Coturnix japonica: one gene and its partner. The main gene of each other region encodes a partner of the protein of the gene in region 2 in a complex. Links are inferred from orthologs where the notes say so. Each region holds a gene or a part of one and is shown on either strand. Other genes may lie near its edges.

The links.
Region 1: the proteins of CASK (region 2) and NRXN1 are in contact, whole or in part, in a crystal structure (PDB 6NID), measured with the Homo sapiens proteins. The link is inferred for Coturnix japonica from reciprocal best matches to the Homo sapiens genes CASK and NRXN1. Residues at the interface, in NP_001354650.1 of Homo sapiens: Pro500, Met501, Gly502, Ile503, Thr504, Leu505, Lys506, Ala516, Arg517, Val549, Gln553, Leu556; in NP_001317021.1 of Homo sapiens: Lys468, Glu469, Tyr470, Tyr471, Val472.

The regions. Positions count from the first base shown.
Region 1 is NC_029518.1:8,514,728-8,518,227, reverse strand, and holds part of NRXN1 (neurexin-1), read right to left. Parts: intron 3,031-3,500; coding exon 2,908-3,030; intron 1-2,907.
Region 2 is NC_029516.1:100,754,559-100,758,550, forward strand, and holds the start of CASK (peripheral plasma membrane protein CASK), read left to right. Parts: upstream 1-1,192; 5' UTR 1,193-1,726; coding exon 1,727-1,785; intron 1,786-1,912; exon of another isoform or gene 1,913-2,061; intron 2,062-3,992. UniProt on the Homo sapiens protein: Multidomain scaffolding Mg(2+)-independent protein kinase that catalyzes the phosphotransfer from ATP to proteins such as NRXN1, and plays a role in synaptic transmembrane protein anchoring and ion channel trafficking.

The DNA of each region.
Region 1 (3,500 bases), on a different chromosome or scaffold from region 2:
AGAATGCCAGATGTATAACCTTGTACAAGGCCAATAGCTGTACACTGGATCACAGCCAGAGAGAGCTGAAGAACAAGTTTTAGAGGAGGAACATTATGTATTCCAGTCTTATATCACTTCAGATGGCACTGCATAAATGTCATGGCAAAAATCCACTAAGCTTTGGCCTGTAACACAGTATCCTCTCTACATTCAGCACAGTAATAAAAAAAAGTCCCAGAAATCTGGGCTCACATCCCAAATCTCCTTAGTTGTAGAAAATTGCTTGAGACTTTGTGCTTAGAAGTTGTCCTTCTGTGTTGTTCTTATGTCAGGTTGGTGCATATAATGCACTAGCTGTTGTAATGCTACAGAACAGGCGTAGTGAATTCCTTTTCATAATCCTAAGCCAGGTAACTTTCCCAATATCCAACTGTAATGAGCTCTTTCATATCTCATTCATTTTCAGACGGAAAAAAATTAAGTGCATCAGTGCTGCAAACATTCAAACTCTGCTGAGTAAAATTATCAAAACCATCTGCATGACTTATATTGAAAGCTAGATATGAAAGACTGCTTAGGCATGCATAAATTATGCATTTGTCATCATTGATACGTAAGAACGTACAAAACACGGACAAATAGGAAAAACTTCAAAACCTATGAAAAATGGAAAGTGAAACTGAATTATTTAATGGTTCCTCTTCAATCTTAAGCTCTCGGAATCCAACAAGGTTTCTTAAATGAGAAAAGAGATGGAGTTTTGGGCAGGAACTGTTTTTTTCTTATGTTCACTGTATATTTATATTAACAACTACTAAGGTATATTTTAAACATCTTTCTGATTGTTGGGACATCTGAATTAAAATTCAAAGTACCTTAATGTAAGAGCAATCCAATGTGATATGGCAATGTTTCCGCTAACCCATTAGGGAATTCAAAGCTCTTACATGTTAAGTTGTGTTGTATGCATTTGAAGATCTACTAGATGGGAGTAAAATCCCGAGCTGGTGAAAGGTTTGGCAAAATACTGTGTGTAAAAAATAAATAAATAAATAAATGAAAAGACAGCTGTAGTTGCATGGCAACAAGAGTTTGCCATGAAGAAAATGTAATGCTATCAGTACTAACAGAAAATTTCCCATGTTACTGGACTCATGAGTTCCCATTAGCCCCTTCTCTCATACCAATCCCCTCCTTACAGATAAAGGAGGACACAGACTGGCCGTATGGCATCCCGCAGAGATTTGGGGAAGATTTTGTCCATCCAAAGCACTGGGACAACTTTCTCCCTTTGGGTGAAGAGAATTAAACATTTGTGGATTATGCACGTGTAGGCAAGAACTGTAAATGATACTGAGTCAACAGGACAGTTTCTGATACATGCACTGGCATATGGAAAAGATGTGCGTGTTGTACCAGAATTTGGATATTCAGGCAAAACTTTTTCTTGATTAAGAGGCAGCTGGAGTGAAAATACTCACTGGCATTAATTTGTATAGACATTTAATTTTAACTACATTTATCCACAATGAAGAATTATTAAAAACAAACAAACAAACAGAAGCATACAGTCCTGCATTCTTTGCTTATTGCTTCACTGACTATACTTTATCTAATAGAAACCTCCCATATTTATCATAATCCCTCACATATATTTTGCATTTCTAAAGCTGTACTAAGCAGTTGGGACTGATTACAAAAGCAAAAAGAGCACTTCTCAGTGATTTATTTTTTTTTTTTTTTAAATCTGCATTACATTTACTATAAGGAGCAAATGAAATTCACATTTACTTTTAGACACTGTATTTTACTGAATTCTAAACAGCTTCCTCTAACTAGAAAGTGTTCCCAAAGTAACTTTATTATCTGAGTCACCAGTTGAAGCAGCAATATGATGCTTTATGTAGTTCCTTCAGTAGTATATATTTATATTCAGATAAAGAAAATGTAAAACTGAAATAACTCATTTAGACCATTTACTTTCTTGGGAAAATGATACAAAGGATCACCACATACATGGAATAAAATTTTGCTTCACCTTTGGAAGATCTATTAGTAATATCTGATACTAGAAAATGTATCTTTGCAGCTACGTGGACACATCTACAATTATTCTACCAGTGATATGGTCTTGAGTGCACTTTTGGGGTAAAAAAGGAGTATAGGAGGTGCTCTCCTTTTAAAAACCATTAACATTTTTACCATTTTAACAAGCCAAAAACTGACAATCTATTTTAGTGAAAATAAAGGAAAATACTAAATAAATAAGCAAAATTAGGCTCATTGTACAAGGAATCAGGGCTAGAAGCCAGATCTGATGCTATTAATAACACATATGTAATAGTTTACAACATAATAAAATCAGAAACAACCTTTTCTATTATAATTTCTGAGACAAAATTAAAAAGTATTGCTAATATCTTCTAGCATTCATGACTTTCTTTCTCTCACATCTAACTGCCATTCTAGTGTTAGAGAAAAACATGTTGCCTAGCACTTAGTCATTTAGACAGCTGATGCAAGTCTTAAAAACATGACAAAATATATTTCAACTATTTCTGAAATTCCCTGCTACATCAATGGCTTTGTGTTTACCCTTAATTTAAACTTAGTATTTTGGCAGCATTTACTTGCCTTCTCATTAGTGATGTATCAAATGATTTTTCTCCAATCTCTGTACAAAACTACCTGTTTATGTCAGCATGATGGTTTTCATTAATTTTAACAGCAGTGCTAGAGTAACATTAAAGTTAAGTGCAAAAATGCACTTGTAATAATAGCATTTCAAGAGGCACAATGTAGAACTTGCTAAAGAAAAGAAAACAAGCATCTTGTTACTTTCAGGTGAAGGCATTTTACTTCTGTCATTTTTGCTTTGTGCTCCCCTCCCCACCCAGATAACACGAAGTCACAAGGTCATACTACCTGTCATGGCCTGCTGGTCATCCACCATTAACTTTAAACTTTTTCCTCGCCGAACCACACGCACTGTGTGCCACTCATTATCATTGAGGTTATAGCCAGCAAAAAGGGTTTCTGGACCTTTGCCTGTAGGATATGCCAAACAGTCATTATGCAATCTCTAAATCATTTTACACGTGAACCTCACAGAGAGAGAGAAAGAGAGACTGGCTGGGCAAATGTTAAAACTCACCAAAAGTCGTATTAAGCAAGAAAATTAACAAGTATAAGCAATTCTCAAAATATAGAGCTACTATGTTAAAACATTTCTACTCTCAATTTAACTATATAAATGTATTACACACACACAATGATCAGGTTGTCATAAATAGGCACAGTCAACATGGGTTTAGTTAAGCATTTTACAGTCATGAGCAACCCTTTAAGAAAGAGGATTACTGCAGACAGAATGAAAATTTAAGCATAGGTTTAAAACACTGCATTTCTATTCCTTCATTAAAAGTAGCTTGGGGAAAAGGTGTAAGCAGCTAATGTGCATGTGTCAAGATTTTCTTCATCTACACTGGCTCCTCAGCCTACACTTATTCATTGGATGT
Region 2 (3,992 bases):
AAATGAGTTTTAAGAAGCTGCATGTGTGCGAAACTAGTACAGCAGAAATGAGGGCTGCTCCGAAAGTAATGCCTCCTACTTGATTATGTTGGCCCAAAACATCAGAAGCAGATGTTGGTGGTATGGCAGAAGATGTCAAACCTTCCCACTGAAATTCTGCTCCGTTTTGTAGCCATATGACAGATGGCAGCAGAGGGGCACTGTGACACAGTGGCATCTGATGTGGAAGCGCATACAAAGGTGTGTCACTGAATTCTTCCAGGCTGAAAAAAAATGGCACCCACTGACATTCATTGATGCTGAATGTTGATGGAGACCAAGCAGTGGATGTGAGCACAGTGGGGCGGTGGGTGGTGCCTTTCAGCAGTGGTGACAGTGGCAGTGGGTCACCTCTGCTGGTGTGGATTGTTAGGAGCATGACATGCAGGCTCATGTTCATGGCTGTAGAAAATGCATAGCTAGTGGTGCTGAGCATTGAAAAAACAGTGTTTCATAGCTGAGAATTTACTCTAGTAACAAGTAGTGCCATTGTGCTCCTTCTATCTGTAGTGGTTTCCATGCAGACAAATAGGAGACACGACCTTTGCAGAAACCTACACGCTTTGGAAACTGCAACAGCTCCCAACTAATTCAGGCACAGAATCACAGAATCGTAGGGGTTGGAAGGAACCTCTAGAGATCATCGAGTCCAACCCCGCTGCCAAAGCAGGCTCCCTACACCTGAACACAACGCTCTTCTGCAAGGCTTCTAACTCAGAGCTCAGGAAAACAGAATCACAGAATGACCCGGGTTGGAAGGGACCTCATGTAGTTCCAACCCCCAAACAGCCCCAAACGCCAACAGCCCCTCAAAGCTAGGACAAAATCCGCTCTACCCGTCCCCGGACAAAGGCGCAGAGCTCGGGCAGAGGAGCTGTTAGGGCAGGCAGGGCTGCAGGGTGCAGCCGACTGAGGAGCACCCCTCCCCACACCTACAGCCGGCTCAACCCTCCCCACCGCGCTCACTGACAGCCGCCCCGCGGAGCCCCCTCCCGGCGCCATGACGTCATGGCAGTGCGCGCCTGCGCACGCCGCGCCGACCGACCCCTGTGCGTGCCTTTGCGTGACGGCGGCGGGGAGCGCGCGCGCGCCCCCGCCCTCTCTCCGTCCCTCCGTCCCTCCTTCCCTCCCTCCCTCCCCGCGCTGCCAGCGCCTATCGCGGCCGCCGCCGCCTCTTCTCCTCGCGGCTGGGAGCGGAACCGACGGCCGCCTCCCCGCCCCTCCCCCTCCTACTATTATCCTCCCGCACGGTGCGCGCTCCCGTAGCCACCCTCCCCCCCCCTCCATCTCCTCCCCGGTGCCTCGGGAGCGCGCCCGCTCGGCGAGGGAGGGATCGAGCCGGCGCTGCCGCCCGCCACCGCCGCCTATCCCCTCCATGGAGCTCGCGCCGCCCCGCTGAGCCACAGCCGCCCGCCCGCCGCTGCCGCCGGGGAGTAACCGGGGGAGGGAGGAGGGTGGGGGGAGGAAGAGGAGGAAGGTGGGGTCGCGGGGTGCGTGACACGCGCGGCGGCCCGAGGAGCTGAGAGCCCCTGCGGCCGAAGGTTGCGGCTGTTGGCGCTGAGCGGCGGGGGAGCGCGCCGCGCGGCGGGGAGCGTGTGCCCGCGGCCCCCCCCGCTTCCTTCTCCTCCTCCTCCTCCTCCTCCTCCTCCTCCCCCCGCACCCGGGGCCGCCGCCTGACGGGCGGACCATGGCCGACGACGACGTGCTGTTCGAGGACGTGTACGAGCTGTGCGAGGTGATCGGCAAGTGAGTCCCGCGGGGAGGGGGAGGGGGGGGAGAAAGAAAGAAAAAGGAGAGGGGATGGGGGAGAGCGGAGCCCCCCCCCCCCACACACACACACACCCAGCGCGGGGATGGCGTGCCCGGCACCCACCTGAGTCGCGGTGCGGGCAGCCCCGGCGCTGCCCACCGCCCTGAGGTTGGGGGGAAGGGGGGTGGGGGGAAAGGAAGGCGCCCCGGTGCTTCCTCAGCCACCATGATCCCCGCCCGGCCGGCCGCCGCGCAGCCTGGCGCTGCCCAGCCCTCCCGTTCTCCTCCCCATCCCCGGCACACCCATCGGTGGTTGCCTGCTTGAAGAAGGATCGCTGTGGATCCACCTATCGCTCGGGTGGCCGCGCCAGGTGTCGGCTCTCCCCGCGCCTTGGCGCACAATGAGCGGCGTGCTGCCGGCGGTGCCCCTGGCACCCCGTGCTCGCGCGGATCTGCCTTCGCTCCGCTCCCCGGCGGCGTGTGAGGCAGGGGGAGAACTTGGCCTCTCCTGTCTCCTTATGCAACTGTTAATGCGTGTTCGTGTCAAACCTCGGAGGTCGCCGGCGTTTTCTGGCTGCCCGTTTTGGGCCACGCTCCTGTGGGCTGCGTGGAGATGACAGCTCCGTGCGTTACCACACCAAGAAAACGCAGAGCATCCCCCAAATCAGATGGCACCGAACGGGAGCCCAACTCTCTGTATTTTCGTGACCAGCCAGTTTCTAAATCCTATTTTTGTTTTATTTCGTTGCGTTCCACACGCCTCCTATAGTTGTGCTTGGGTTGAGTGAAAGATGTAGCGGTGTTGCTGCTTCTAATTGTCTGCGTGTCTGACTGAGCAGCTGAGATTGCTGTGGGAGCCGCTGCTCTGGGTGCCTGCAGCTCTTTCTTCCTGAGGATGAATTCAATCAGAGCGGCATTCCCCGTGTTTTGATTATAAACAAAGAGTTCTTCTGCATGTATTCTCCCTCCCGCTCCCCTCCAGCGTGCTTCACAGTTTCTATCTGCTGCTGCCTGCTTTGAGAGCTCAGGCTAAAAATATTCTGGAATTAATCTTTCCTGAGGATTATACTAAAATGCTCGTCTTGGACTTAGCAGGTTACTTTGTTGGCAGCTGAAGTTTCAGCACTCTGCTCTGTCGTTTCACACGGTTATTACCACCTTGCCCTGGCCACAAACAACTTTTAAAAATAGGAAGCTTAGAGGGCCTTGCTTGCTGTCATAAGCTGAAAGGGCTTTCGCCAGTTGTTCGTGGGGAGCTTATGTAGCCGAGAAACAAAACAGTGATTATATGTGGTTTGAAGATGGTTTTTGGCATGCTCCTTTCATGAGTGGTTTTAAGCTGACCACTGCAGTTCACGCACTGCTTCCTCAGAGCTGGCTGCCATTGGAAGGAAAGTGAAGTGCTTCTGCTTGACAGGACTATGTGAGCTTATAGAGAATGGCTCATTCGCAGCCATCCAGATGTTGATGCGGCTCCACTGACTTTCGATGTTGTGATCTGAGAATATCAAAGGGATTCAAGGTTCAGAACCTGTGAATTGTGAAGCTTCTTTGGCTGATACCTGAGATTGAATTATTCTGGATGTGTTGTGATGTAACCTGATCTAACAGATAAGTGTTGGATTGTAGGAGCACGGCGCTGCCAAGAGCACTGTAACAGAACAGGGTGGATTACTGAAGCTAGCAGTGGTGGTAGGAAGGGGTTTGCGTATGGATGTTGTGTCCCTCCTCTAATAGGCACAGTTGTATTTGTACAGTTGTATGAGCAGTGTTCCTGTTTCATTGCAGTGCTACTCAGGTGACTTCTGAGCAATCGGGGATGCAGCGTCTTTAATTAGCTTTCACATTTTTGATAGCACCCCGCTCTTCTTTAGGCAACATGGGGAAAGCCTCATGTAAAATCTGCCTTGAGTTGCTACGTATGCATCTGGCTAAACATCTATCAGTGAAACACCAACTAAACGTCTGCACCTTCCCGTGATTTATTATTGATTGATTGAGTAATCTGCTTCTTGCAAATAGCACATCCGGCCCCTGACTTGTGTTTAGGTCCATGAAATATTAAAGCGTGTGATTTATCCTTCCTAAATGGGTAGTTATCGCTGTCATTTAAAGTAGTAAATGGTATTTCCAGAAAGGGTGTGGGAAAGAGATTTTGGACCGTAAAACAACTGAATATTTTGCCTGACTTTGTAAGAGAAATC